Linked DNA regions of Cricetulus griseus. The protein of the gene in region 4 purifies or fractionates together with the protein of the main gene of each other region. This does not show direct contact. Links are inferred from orthologs where the notes say so. Each region holds a gene or a part of one and is shown on either strand. Other genes may lie near its edges. The genes, in order: Ptpru, Slc12a2, Tctn2 and Clgn.

Region 1 (2,543 bases), on a different chromosome or scaffold from region 4:
AAGCCAAGGGGTGATTAATCTCCCATTTCGCAGGAGGCTCATGTTGGGTCACAGGAACAGGGGCAAGTGGAGGAGAGGATCCCTGGTGACCACAGCTAGGCTCAGTGCTTGTGTTTGGCTGTGTATCTCCATTGTTGGTCCTGGCTGGTCTTCCCATCTTGCTTTGGGGCTTGTTTGCCTCTGGGCCTTCCCTTCTGTCATTTTCTTTTGAAGTATGGTTGTATCTTTTCTCTAGGAATCTACAGGCCAGTCCTTTCTGAGGATATCTTCTGATATGATGCGTGGTTTTGGATATCATTCTCAACCCTGAGCTATCTTTTTAGCTTTCTGGTCCTAGGGCTGGCTTCTGGGTTCTCTTCTCATCCCTCGGCTCCCTAGTCCACCCTCCATGGCTCCTTAGTGTTACCCTCACCTTTGGCCTCTCTGACTTAGCCCCTGCCTTTTGATTGCCTAGCTCCACCCCTCACCCTTGAGTTTCCAGGTCCTGCCCCAAACCTTTTCTGTGTTTCCTTTAGAAACGGGGGTGGCCGAAGTGGTACCTTCTGTGCCTGTGCCACGGTCTTGGAGATGATCCGCTGTCACAGCCTAGTGGATGTTTTCTTTGCTGCCAAAACACTTCGGAATTACAAGCCCAATATGGTGGAGACCATGGTGAGGAGCCATGTCCCAAGCACAGCCACTTCAGCTCCCATCCAAGCCCCACCAGGTTCCTTAGTACCTACGCACTCCTGTCTGGTCCCCAACTTTGGGTCTCTGTTCTAGTCCTGGGTTGTTAGAATATCATCCTCATTTCCCTTTCTCCAGAGGGTGGTCAGAGCTCAAGGTGCTCTCTTTCCCCAGGATCAATACCACTTCTGCTACGATGTGGCCCTGGAATACCTGGAGGCTCTGGAATTGAGATAGCAGGCGCCTGGCCTGGGGCACCCACTGAGCACCCAGGGCGTGGCCCATCATCCCAGACTGGAGAGGAGGGCCTGTGCCCCCAACTTTGCTCAGCCATAATTCTACAAGGAGAACACTGGAGTGGACGCTGCACTATCTTGGTGGCCCCCATGGGCAGGCTGCGGGCCAAGGAGGAGCTTTGCAAGACTACAGGACTGCAGCCAGCCCCACCTCCAGAGGGCCTTGCAGACCTGTGCTGAGAAACCTGGGACGGTGACACTGGCCAGAACAGCCAGTACTGGGACCCCAGGCCAGGCCCCTCCACTCCATTCCAGTCCTTGGCAAGAAATGAATGAGGGCTGCGAGAGAGTGTTCAAGGTTTGCACTCAGTGTGGCCCCCTTCTGCACATGGTGGAGGCTCACTGGGCTTGGCAGGGGCTGAGTCCCACCTGGCTTAGCCCCTGAGAGTCCTGAAGCTGGGACTCTTCACCGTCTTGCCAGTGGGACACGCTGACCCTCCTGCGGCTCTGTTCTCCATCCCACTGCCCCTGCAGACCCGGGGGTGCTTTGCTCGCCATGCTTTCCTACTTCTGCTTCTGAGCTTCCTGCAACAGGGCCTGCGCCTCCCTCCTGGGCTCCATCCCTGCCTGGCCCAGTATGTGCAGAATATCTCCTCAGCTCCTTCTTTCCTAGCCTTCAGGCCTCCATGGCTCAGTCCTGCTCAGCGTGGGCCTGTGACAATCCACAAGGCTGAATCCCAGCCCCCGGGGTTGAGGTCCCTGTGGCTCTTGGTGAGGCTGCCACTGGGTTGAGGCAGAGTAGAGCAGGGCTGGTGACAGCTCCTAGAGTTCAGAGGAAGAAGGGTGCTATGGGATGGAGGACCAGTACTTTTTTGTTGTTATTTCATTATTTTCTTTTTTCTTTTTTTTTTTTTTTTTGATGGGAGGGTGGGAAGTACTCTTTATAATGGGGTAGGCCACACCCCCATTTCGTGCCTCAATTTCCCCATCTGTAAACTGTAGATATGACTACTGACCTACCTCACAGGGGGCTGTGGGGAGGTGTAAGGTAATGTTTGTAAAGCACTTTGTAAATAAACGTGCTCTCTGAATGCCACCCGGTGGCCGTGTGTGTGCGTGTTTGACCAGCTTGAGGGGACAGTGTAGGTCAGAGGCCTAGATTCTAGGCTTGGTTTGGTTTTTCTGTCCACCAGACAGCAGAGATATGGACCAGGGCATCCCCACTCAGAGTCCCTCCGAGGAGGTGGTTCCAGGGGACGCTGGTCCTGTTAGATACGCACCCCAGTAAGTACCTGACAAATATATACCTGATGAAGGCAGCTTCCGGGAGGAAGGGGTTATTTTGGGTTACAGTTCAAGATAACAGTCCACCATAAGTGAGTGCTCTAGTTTGGCTTCCGTGGCTATGATAAACATCGTGGTCACCAAAAGCAACTTGGAGAGAAAAGTATTTATTTCTTCTTAGATTTTGCAATCCGTCATCGAGGGAGGCCAAGGCAGGAACCCAGGGAAGGAGTTTGGGTCAGAAACCAAGGAGGAACACTGTTTATCAACTTGCTTCCAGGCCGGAGTTCAGCTATCTTTCTCACATAGCTCAGGCTTGCCTGCCTAGGCATGGTACTGCCCACAGTGGGCTGGGCC
Region 2 (3,572 bases), on a different chromosome or scaffold from region 4:
GCATGATAAGCACACGTTTTTACCAATGAGCCTAAGTGCCAGCCCCTAGCATGATTTTTACACAGTGAATTCTGTGGAACTATAACATAAGGGGGCTCTGTCAACTGAAAAAGTACCATGGGGCTTTTGTTACAAGTGGACCAGGGTTGAAAATCAGGAAAAGAATGGAAAGTACAGAAGGATTTAAGTTTCTCAGAACAGGCTAAATAGCATGTGAGGTTTTCAAAAGGAAAAGGAACTATGAACACAGTGCTTTAGCTTCAGTTTTACTTTCAAAATGAAATTTTGTTGAAGTAATTAAATATTTCTAACCATTAGTGACAAGTTTAAAGCATGGTCTTTTAAAGCATTTTATGAGTAGTTTTAATTAACAAATACCAATGGTATGAATTTCTTAAATTCACACCAAGGTTTTGTTATGTGGGTAGGTTGCTTGAAATGCTTTATATATTTATTAGAACATGGAAGTATATCATGGTGAAGACCAGAGTGTACAGCTGCCCCACTGAGGGGTAAGCCTTTCCTCTGTAGGATGCTGCTATAGTTTTCACTATGGTGGGTTGATTTAAATTTTTGAAAGGTTGTGTTGAATGAAGGTCTGAGAAGATGCACTAAGAGGGAAAATATTATCTTCACAGTCATTAGGAATTATCAAAACCAGCTGTGATCAATAACAGTCATTGACTTTACTGTTAGATATTAGCCTTGTACTTAATATTTAAAGTTGTCTGAGTGTGGCAGCCATAATGAAAGCTATTTTATACATAATTATGTGCCACTGTATAAAGCAAATGAAAAATCTGGGTGACTTTTTTGTCTGTCTTGTTAGGATGGCGTCCTGCATTCAAATATTACAACATGTGGATATCTCTTATTGGAGCAATTCTTTGTTGCATAGTGATGTTTGTCATTAACTGGTGGGCTGCCTTGCTCACATATGTGATAGTTCTTGGACTCTACATTTATGTCACCTACAAAAAGCCAGGTCAGTAGTCTTTTGTATTTAGTATTTCAAGCTAGAAAATGTCAACAGGTTTTTACGTTACTTCTTACTCAAGCATCTTTTGTATATTTGAAAAGGTGTCACATGTAAAACTTATAATACCTTCTTTCCATATAATTTTTTGCTTTTGAAGTACATTTAGTGTTAATTCCTATAGAATTTCATTTGTACCCATGAATTAAATATAACTAACCTTATTTAAGAAAAGTAATAAACTAACATTCTTTTGTACTTCCATTGTTTTAAAATTATAAAATTATTACGTTGAAAGTTCCAGATTTTGCAGCACTGTAGTAACTACTAGCCAAATGTCTGTCTCTGTCTCTCTCTCTCTCTCTCTCTTTCTCTCTCTCTCTCTGTGTGTGTGTGTGTGTGTGTGTGTGTGTAGAATATATATATTCTCTTGTCATCTTTAGAACTTCTGTATAGATGGAATTCAAGCACTGGAAAGATGTATCTTTCCCAAAATAACTAAATATAAATGTTCTTTTTTGTTGTTTGCTTTTCTTTTTCTTTTTCTTTTCTTTTTTTCTTTTTTTTTTTTTTTTTAGACAGGGTTTCTCTTTGTAAACCAGGCTGGTCTGGAACTCACAGAAATCTACCTGCCTCTGCCTCCCAAGTGCTAGGATTAAAGGCGTGCACCACCACTGCCCAGCTAGTATAAATGTTCTTAACTGAGAAATAATTAGTGATTGTCATCTTCTACATTGATGATGTCTAGAAAGGTCCCCGTGTAAGGTTTGAGGGGAAGGGCTGTTAGGATTGGTTCAGTATATAGAAAAAGATATGGCAAAAAAAGGTAGGAGAGTTTGGTCCACTGGCATAAATCAGAAGATGAGTAGTTACAGTACAGTAATTCTAAACAGTGATGAAATGTAATCTGAATATGAAATGATGAACTTTTGAATTCAGATGGTGACTCTAGAAATGAATGGAGAAGGGAGGTATATTTTTAACTTTTAGGAGCAAATGTTCCTCTAAAATACTATTAAATATACATTAATGTGTTTTTAAAAATCATTCAAGGCCCAACCTTTTTATTCAATAGTAGAGGACGTTTTCATGTTTAAATAGCTTGAACATATTTACTGTTCTTAAAGTGTGTCCCCTCAGGTCTTCAGCTACATAATGAATAATTTTTAAATATTTTATTGTTGGGAATGTTTTGAGTTATGCAAACATGTCTACAGTGCCATCATCATGCATTTATTAAGTTATGCCTTTTTTCAAATGCAATGACAGATCTGATGATAGTCTTAATGTACTTCTATATACTAGAACTATTCAAAGTTATAGAATAGTAGTTTACTTTAGCAATTGACTTATAAACATGAAAATTCTGCCCAGTTTGCTGTTTGTCTCATGGGTTTGAAATGGTTGCCATTGGAATCACACTGCATGACTCTGTTTTCCCACAGATGTGAACTGGGGGTCCTCCACACAAGCCCTGACTTACCTGAGCGCACTGCAGCATTCCATTCGTCTTTCTGGGGTGGAAGACCATGTGAAGAACTTCAGGTAGGAGAACAGGCACCATGGAGGCATCCTCTGGTTACTAGTCAGTTAATTCTTAAACCATTCATTTTTCAGTAACATTCTGTATGGAATAGTACACAATATTCTGTCTTGCTTGGATGGTCTTGGACAGTTAATTATTCAAAACCAAACATACAAAAAAAAATGCTGTCCTTAGAAAAAGTGATGAAAGTTTTGGAACTGTCATTTGAAGAAAAATATTTTTTTTTCTCTTTGTAAGCATTCATGTTATATATCTATAAGTTTCTTTAAATTTTTTTTGTGTATGCATGTTTTACCTGTATCTATGCCTGTGCCCTACTTGCACACTTGGTACCCACAGAGGCTAGAAAGAGCATTAAATTCCCTGGAACTGGAGTTGCAAATAGTTTTGAACTGTTATGTGGGTTATGTTACGGGAATTGACCCCATAAGAATTTTTATTTGTTTGCTTGAGACAGGGTTTCACTGTATGGCTCTGGCTGGCTGGGGACTCCCTTTGTATAAGCCAGGTTACCCTTGAACTCACAGAGATCCGCCTGCCTCTGCTGCTTGAGTGCTTGAATCCAGCCATGCCTGGCGTAGACTTGTTTTGATGAACCTATTTTTATAATTTTGTTAAGACTAAACAATACTGAATTCATATTTCTAAGCAACTAACTGGAAACTACTTGCAGTAGTAAGACTGTGTTTTTGGCTAAGGAGTACGTGCGTTGTACTTCCCTTGGGAAATGACTTTGTCATTAGTCTATTAGTCATCTCTGAAACTTCTGTAATACATTGCTAGTAATGGGTTAGATCCAGATATTAAAACACTGTTGAGAGATGCTTCTCTGTATTCAGAAATATTTATGCATATAAAGTCTAAGAAATTTTAGCCTGTTTATACTTAGTATTTTCATAAAATAGTATTTCTTAAATTGATGAGGTTGGTTAGCTGTCACAAGTCATACATAACCTTTCATTGGCTTCTGAAATATACACAACGTTGTTCTAGAAAATATCTTTGAAGAGGAGATACATTTCAAGAAAGAATTGCTCTCTTTAGAAGGAG
Region 3 (3,572 bases), on a different chromosome or scaffold from region 4:
GACCTCGAACTCAGAGAGATCCACCTGCCTCTGCCTCCCGAGTGCTGGGATTAAAGGTGTCTACTGCTGCTGTCGCCACCACCAGGTGAAAAATTTATGACTATGATCTCTGTGAATAAAAAATAAAGAGCTGGGGTTTGTGTTGTATCCCTGAAACCCCAGCACCCAGGAGGCAAAGGCAGGAGGATCAGAGTTCAAGGCTGTTTTTGGTTATATAGAGAGTTTGAGGCCAGCCTGGGCTACATGAGGCCCTATATCAAAGCAAAGAGGAAAGGGTGATTTGCATCTCAGCAGATCATCGTTGAAGGGTTATTGATCATCTTTTTTTTTTTTTTTAAACGGTGCTGGGGTTGAACTTCAGCCTATGTACAGGCTAAGCAACACCCTAAGGGCCCATGGATAATCTATCTTATGGACTTGCAGTTCCCCCAGACACGACTCTGCCTTTGAAGCCCATCTGCACCTCCATCTAAGAGACTATGCTGATGCCACTTACAAACAAGGCGATCCCATCATGACCACACAGGGGTATTTTACCGTCCCCCAGGTAAACTTGGATCTAACTAGTGTTGTATATCCATAAGAATCTCCCGCTAAGCAGCTTATTTTCCTCTTGTACATTAACTATTAATAGTCCCTAGATGGGAAAGACTCATTCTTAACCTCTGCCTTCGCTAAGTCACAGTGTGTATAATAACACAGGAGGTGTCTCTGTGCAGACTCCTTGTGGGCGATGATGGGTGATCAGTCTCCACTTCATTCCCTTTTGGTGTTTTGTGTTTTTGTGGTACTGGAGCCAGTACTGAGGGGCCTTGTGTATGCCAGTCAAGTGCTCTACCAAGCTACATCCTTAGCCCCAGCAATTTCTGAGGTGCTATAAGTATGTGACTGTGTATAAGAGTGTTTGACACATCTTTAAGGTTAGAAAGTTTTATGTGAAGTCTTTGTTTTTTTCTACATCCGTCATTATTGGGAAACTGCTTGTGGGAGGAAAGCGTGGGGTGCATGACAGTTTGTTATTCCTGTGAACCCGTTTATATCATTGGAGCTGTCTGGGGGCAGGAGGTGTGCTTAGCACTAGAGTTCATGGTTATTCCACGTGGGGCGCTGGCTTTCCCACCTCCCTCAGAACTCACGTTGTGATGAGGGAGAAGCGCGGCCGAATATAGTCATTACTTGTTAGTGGACAGGGCCAGGGACCTTCCCCGAGTGTATTAGAGAACACTTAACTGTGAGTAGTGGCTTCCAGTTGTTGGTTCTCTAAAGTTGGTCGCTGTTGACAATGTCTAGCAATAGCAGTGAGCAGCAGAAAGTGACTTGGAGTAGGGTGGCATTGATGTAGGGTCTTATACTGAAGCCTAGACTGGTCCTGAATTTAGGGCAGCTCTGCCTGAACGCCCCCAAATGCAGGGATTACAGGCTTGAGCACCACGCTTGGCAGAAAGAATGGTTTTAAGAGAGGAAGAAGAATTCCATGTACCATCTTTGTTCCTCACCCTTAGGTGTCCCTAGCTGGACAGTGTCTGCACAGTGCTCCAGTGGCTTTCCTGAGGAACTTTGATGTTAAATGTACCATCGATCTGGAAGTGTACCAAGAACAAGATGGCGTTGTCCCTGAGAACGTGAAGATCCGCACTGCGGGAGGTAGGCTGCCTTTGCGGTTAGACCGGTGTGGTTAATAGGGAAGCCTCTGGCTCAGCATCGGTGATGGCTCATCTATTGGTTGAGAATGGTGTTTTCCCTGGGAAAAGTTCAGTCTGACAGAATAGCATCTGCACATGTGGTCGGTGTTTTCCTCTGTGCACTGGGCATGGAACCCAGTGTTCAATCACTAAGCCCCACCCACCCCAGATCTCTATTGTCAGTTAAGTCAAATCTCTATAATGTCACTCGAGTGCCATCGACTTTCTGTGCAATACTGTGTACCCTACTCTCTCGAGGAGCCCCAGACCTTTCAATACCCACAAAGGGAGCAGGCATCTTTTCAGCAGTGAGCAACTGAGCTCTTGTCTGTCTCTGTATATCACATGGATGGAACCATTTCTTTGCTGCTGGCTCCTGGAACCCTCGATAGGGGTGGGGAAGAACTGTGGAAAGAATAGACACACACTGTGAAACAGGAATGGGTCCAGTCAGGTTCTCCAACTACTGCTATGATAATCTGCAACCTCAGTGTGTATTAGGCACAGCACAGGGGGAGGCTATCTAGTCTCTGGAAGGCTCTACAGGCAGTGGTCCCTGACTCTGAGCATCCAGGAGGAAGTCACAGTTGCCAGTCTCTGCACACACAGAGGAACAGTTTATAGACACTCCTTCTTAGACTCCCAAAGAAAGCTTCACCATTTCTTTTCTTTTTTGAACCTGGCCCATGTCTGCTAATTTCCCATGGGCCAGTTGCTCATGTCAAAGTACACATTGACTCAGGACCTCACTCCCCCTGGGCTTCCTCTGCTCCTTGCACTTTGCTCTGTGGCCTTCACATCTGGCTTCTCTCACTTAGCAGCATCTTTTTAATTCTGTTTGTTTGTTTATTTGTTTTTCAAAACAGGGTTTCTCTATGTATCCCTGGATGTCCTGGAACTCACTCTGTAGACCAGGCTGGCTTTGAACTCAAAGATGTACCTGCCTCTGCCTCAAGAGTGTTGAGATCGAAGGTGTGCGCCACCACTGCCAACTTTTGCATCATCTTTTGAAAGCACATATCTGTGCCACTTTTTTTTTTTTTTTTTTTTTTTTTTGACTAAGGAGTATTGTACTGTATGGCTCAGCCACATTTCTTTGTCCATTTGTAGGCTGATGGATACTTAACATGTTGCCATCATTTGGTTTTGTGACCAGTGCTGGAGTGAGCATTTGGGGACACAGTTTTATGGGATATGGAGTGGGGTTGTCATGCCATGTAGTTTACTTGATGATTTGAGGGAATACAGATTCTTCCAAAGTGGCTGCTTTGTGTACTTTCCACCCTTACCGAAGCTCTTCTTGCAGAGTAACACCACAGGTGCTGGTGCTGACTCTTTGTAACACCACAGGTGCTGGTGCTGACTCTTTGTAGGTCTAGTGAGGGACTGGGAGCTGATGATGTAGGAGGGGGAGAGAGCGTGAGGAGATAATCACCACAGGCATGGTTGCACGGTAGCCCTTTTCTTTTCCTTTTTGAGATAGTGACCTTGAACTCCTGATCCTTCTGTCTTGTGAATCCTGGGATTGCAGGAGTGTGTCACAAAGTCTGGCTTCTTGTTAGCTCAATAAGCTTCCTGTGAGTAGGTGAGTGGCACTGTGGCAAACCACATGTCGCTATGGAAGTAAATTTGTTGGGGGAAATTTGATCACACTGTGAACCCCGAGTTTGCATTTGCATTAATTAAATAAAATTAACCTTGGGTCAGGAGGCTGAGTTAGCAACTAGAAGATAATCATAGAGCAACAGCGGGTGTCTGGAAGAGACAGAGAGATGCATCGGAAGGAGTAGGGAGGGATTTGGAGTGGTCTTTTTTTTTTTTTTTTTTTTTTTGTGGTGGAGCAGAAGGATGCGCTCTTTTGGAGAGACACCAGCAAGGAGAGGAAGTTGT
Region 4 (3,572 bases):
GTGTGTGTGTGTGTGTGTGTGTCTGTCTGTCTGTCCATAAAGATGGCAGTACTTGAATATAGAAAGCGCCTATTAAGGTAAATTTCTGTTTAGTGGTTTTAAAAATGTTCATTTTTAAAGTAAACACTAGAGTGGCAGCCAGTAACATTTAGAAGAAATCAAGGTTTTCTGGCCCAGACATTCATCTAAAGTTTTGATCTGAAAAGGGGTTGTGTCCATTGAAATAGGTATAACAATGCATTTTGTGATGTTTTATAACCATTTTAATGATATAATTTGTGTACTATCAAGTTGAACTGCTTAATTGTGTAATTATATTTATAGGGTTGGGTAACCATTACCAAATTCCAATATTAGACTTTCATTCCCCTAAATGCCCACTAGCTGCCCCCCTAATCCTGATCTAGTTGGTGTCTCAGCTATTGTCCAGTTCTTGTTTTCTCAGGTTTTCTTGTTTCTCTACATGAAATGGTACATCTACAATTTTCCCTAACTGGCTTTTCCAGATTTTCTAGAGCAATGGTTTTGTGTTCATGCATTCTTGTATGAGATCCTGTCTCTCTGTTACTAGATGCTTTTCCATGGTGTGAGCACTTCAGTTGACATCTGTCTGTACACTCCTCTCCAGCTGACATCTGTCTGTACACTCCTCTCCAGCTGACATCTGTCTGTACACTCCTCTCCAGCTGACATCTGTCTGTACACTCCTCTTCAGATGACATCTGTCTGTACACCCCTCTTCAGATGACTGCTGTCTGTACACCCCTCTTCAGATGACAGCTGTCTGTACACTCATGAGTTGATGGACACTTGATTCAGTCTACATTTGAGTTGATACAAGAAATGGGTTCTATGGATTATATCTAAGCATGTGTGAGGATATAAGTTTTGGTTTTATTTTGGCTATCTTTAAGTGGGATCACTGGGCCATGTTGAAATTTGCCACATTATTCCCCACCTCTGTTGGTATGTGTGAGGATTCCAGTTTCTCCAGTCTCTGTGGTTTTCAATGGTCATTTTTGATCACAGCAATGCTGGTGACTGTAGTACCATCTCTATCAGCCCCATCTTTCTTAAGTGGGCCCATATGTGTCCATAGCTCTATCTATTATCTGAGAAGCTTTACAGTTCTAAGAATCTACTTTAAAAAATGTTCCCATGTTGATGTTAGCTTTGGGGAAAGAGTAGCATACATGATGATGATGTGTTATTGTATGGCCACTCTTGAATCAATGATACTGAACTGTTTCAGTGCCCAACACTACTTGAAAGTCTGTTGGCACCATGGGAGACATCTTGAATTAATATATGCTAATGAAGTAGGCAAGAAGATATTACATGAATCAATAAGAGGAAGAGAGGTTGGTTGTATTTGGCATTTCTTATAGCACAAGGAACACCAATTATTCAGTGTTTGAAAAGACACGTGGTCAGATAATTGTGTAATGAGCATGGAATTATAGGAACAGTGAGTTTAAAAGAACATGAGCCCCAGGAGACAGCTTTCTACAGCATGGGATTTGATTTGGCAAAACACTATTAAATGTTAAATGTATGATTAAAAATCCCTTAGTTTTGGGTGTTTAGATGTAAGTGGACTCTAGCTTTATAATTATAAAATGTCTAATTTTGTATATACTTAAGCTACATTATTTATTTAAAACAATATAAGTGAAAATTTAGGAATCATGATAGCTTTTTTTTTCCTTTTCAATGAATCAACATTATTTGCATTTATAGACATTGTTGCTGACAGCTTTATATTTTTATACCATTAACTCTTTGGTTTCAGAAGAAGTCTTAGAACTGCACATTTTAAGTTGGTGTTTTATTTGTTCAAGGCTTAATTTAAATAATGTTGCTGGTGATGGAAACATCCAGAGTAAAGGAGAAACTATTTCTCCCTATGGTTCTTACCACATGGCATCCTTGCCTGATTTTTCAATGACTGCTTTAATTCCACAGATAGTCAATATGCATTTCCAAAGTGTTGGACTATGCTTGGGTCTTCTGTTCATCACTGTTAATGCAGAGTTTATGAATGATGGTGTTGATGTGGAAGACTTCAGTGAAAATCCAGAAGAGAGTTCTATTAAAGAAGACGACCCTTCCTCAGGGGTAAGATGGTTGAGAAGTGAATTATAAGCTATTCTTCCATGGTCATAGGAGTGACAGGTCCCTCAAGATAGGTTTCCTTCTCTTCTAAGAGGGTTGGTCTTCTCAGTGCATAGGGAAATGTTGCTTTTTTTTTTTCAGTTGTGTTCTTAGAGCGCCTACAGCAAACATTTGTTTGGACCTATTCCAGTTGTGTTCCATGAGTATGTGGGAAGTTTTTGTTGCCAAAACAGGAGTTCACTGGTTAAAGAAGACCAAGTTCTTTAACAAAGACAAGGACCATTAGTCCTATTTCTGATAATATCAGACTTTTCCAGACAAAATGGAAGGTGCCATAACTTGTGGTTCTTCAAGAAGTAAAGGAAGCAGCTTTTGTTTATTTCTCTGTAGGTAGATAATGCACACAAGGACAATGGATTGGAAAGGGAAGGAGTAACGAGGTGGACTTTAGTTGGGCTGAGCCAGGGCTATGCCTCAGCACTGTCGAAGTGTATGTCCTGAGGTGGTGACTGACGGGAGCCTGGGAACTTAACAGAGATTTTGGTTGATCTATTTTAACCATCCTCTGGAGCCTCCATATTGAATGTATTCCCATATAATACTGTGATAACTAAAAATCATTCATCCTTCTATGCTAGCCTCTGCTTAAAGGGCCCAAGTAACAAACAGGAAGTTCTCACAGATTCCTTTGCTTCATCTCATCTTATTGGGTTTTTAACATGCAAATAAATGTTATTATCGGTTTGCAGTAACTATTTTGCTTCCCCTTTAAATTTTAGTCTCTGCAAAGATATTTCTTTTGAAACTTAGTTCTGTGATTTACAAAGCAATGCTTGACAAACCATCACCTGGGTCAAACATCTATTACAGGGGTCTTTAAAAGTTCACACTTAAAAATTGACATGTGCTCACCACTCATAAGTATATTTGGTGAGATGACAAGAAATTGGAAAAAACACTTAAATTTTCATTACCAGACATCAATTGTACAAAATAACAGGTTTCATTATGACATTACTAAGACATGAGCTTTGCAACCAGAGCCCATGCCAGCCGGGATCTCTACTGCCCATGTGTACTGTGTACTAGGTTCCGAACAATCAGGCTGACTTCAGATATTTGCAAAAATGAGTAACTTTGGCTTAAAAATCTCTTTTCTAGACAATTATATATAAGACACCTCAACCTATAGGAGAAGTATATTTTACAGAAACATTTGACAGTGGAAGGCTGGCTGGGTGAGTACTCCTGCAAGAGCACATTTTCTTCAATTTGATGGGTTTTCTGAAGCTATTAGTCTGTGAGAATTAGCTCTCCTGTGACTGTGGAATAATTTAAAGCTATGAATTTATACAAAGACAGACACAAATTCAGAATGCAAAGGAAGCACATGGCATTTCCTTGCTCTCTGGGGTAGATATTGTGGAGATTCACAAGACAACTGAGTTATGTTCAGC

The links.
Region 1: the proteins of Clgn (region 4) and Ptpru purify together in Homo sapiens (affinity purification with mass spectrometry; 3 studies listed by BioGRID and IntAct, with this or other methods). This does not show direct contact. The link is inferred for Cricetulus griseus from reciprocal best matches to the Homo sapiens genes CLGN and PTPRU.
Region 2: the proteins of Clgn (region 4) and Slc12a2 purify together in Homo sapiens (co-immunoprecipitation; 3 studies listed by BioGRID and IntAct, with this or other methods). This does not show direct contact. The link is inferred for Cricetulus griseus from reciprocal best matches to the Homo sapiens genes CLGN and SLC12A2.
Region 3: the proteins of Clgn (region 4) and Tctn2 purify together in Homo sapiens (affinity purification with mass spectrometry; 3 studies listed by BioGRID and IntAct, with this or other methods). This does not show direct contact. The link is inferred for Cricetulus griseus from reciprocal best matches to the Homo sapiens genes CLGN and TCTN2.

Annotation. Positions count from the first base shown.
Region 1 is NC_048595.1:21,492,381-21,494,923, forward strand, and holds the end of Ptpru (receptor-type tyrosine-protein phosphatase U), read left to right. Parts: intron 1-515; coding exon 516-651; intron 652-840; coding exon 841-903; 3' UTR 904-1,998; downstream 1,999-2,543.
Region 2 is NC_048595.1:181,064,478-181,068,049, reverse strand, and holds part of Slc12a2 (solute carrier family 12 member 2), read left to right. Parts: intron 1-829; coding exon 830-985; intron 986-2,421; coding exon 2,422-2,521; intron 2,522-3,572. UniProt on the Homo sapiens protein: Cation-chloride cotransporter which mediates the electroneutral transport of chloride, potassium and/or sodium ions across the membrane. Plays a vital role in the regulation of ionic balance and cell volume.
Region 3 is NC_048597.1:104,314,695-104,318,266, forward strand, and holds part of Tctn2 (tectonic-2), read left to right. Parts: intron 1-423; coding exon 424-547; intron 548-1,502; coding exon 1,503-1,644; intron 1,645-3,572.
Region 4 is NC_048596.1:159,037,945-159,041,516, forward strand, and holds part of Clgn (calmegin), read left to right. Parts: intron 1-1,965; 5' UTR 1,966-1,974; coding exon 1,975-2,118; intron 2,119-3,276; coding exon 3,277-3,353; intron 3,354-3,572. UniProt on the Homo sapiens protein: Functions during spermatogenesis as a chaperone for a range of client proteins that are important for sperm adhesion onto the egg zona pellucida and for subsequent penetration of the zona pellucida.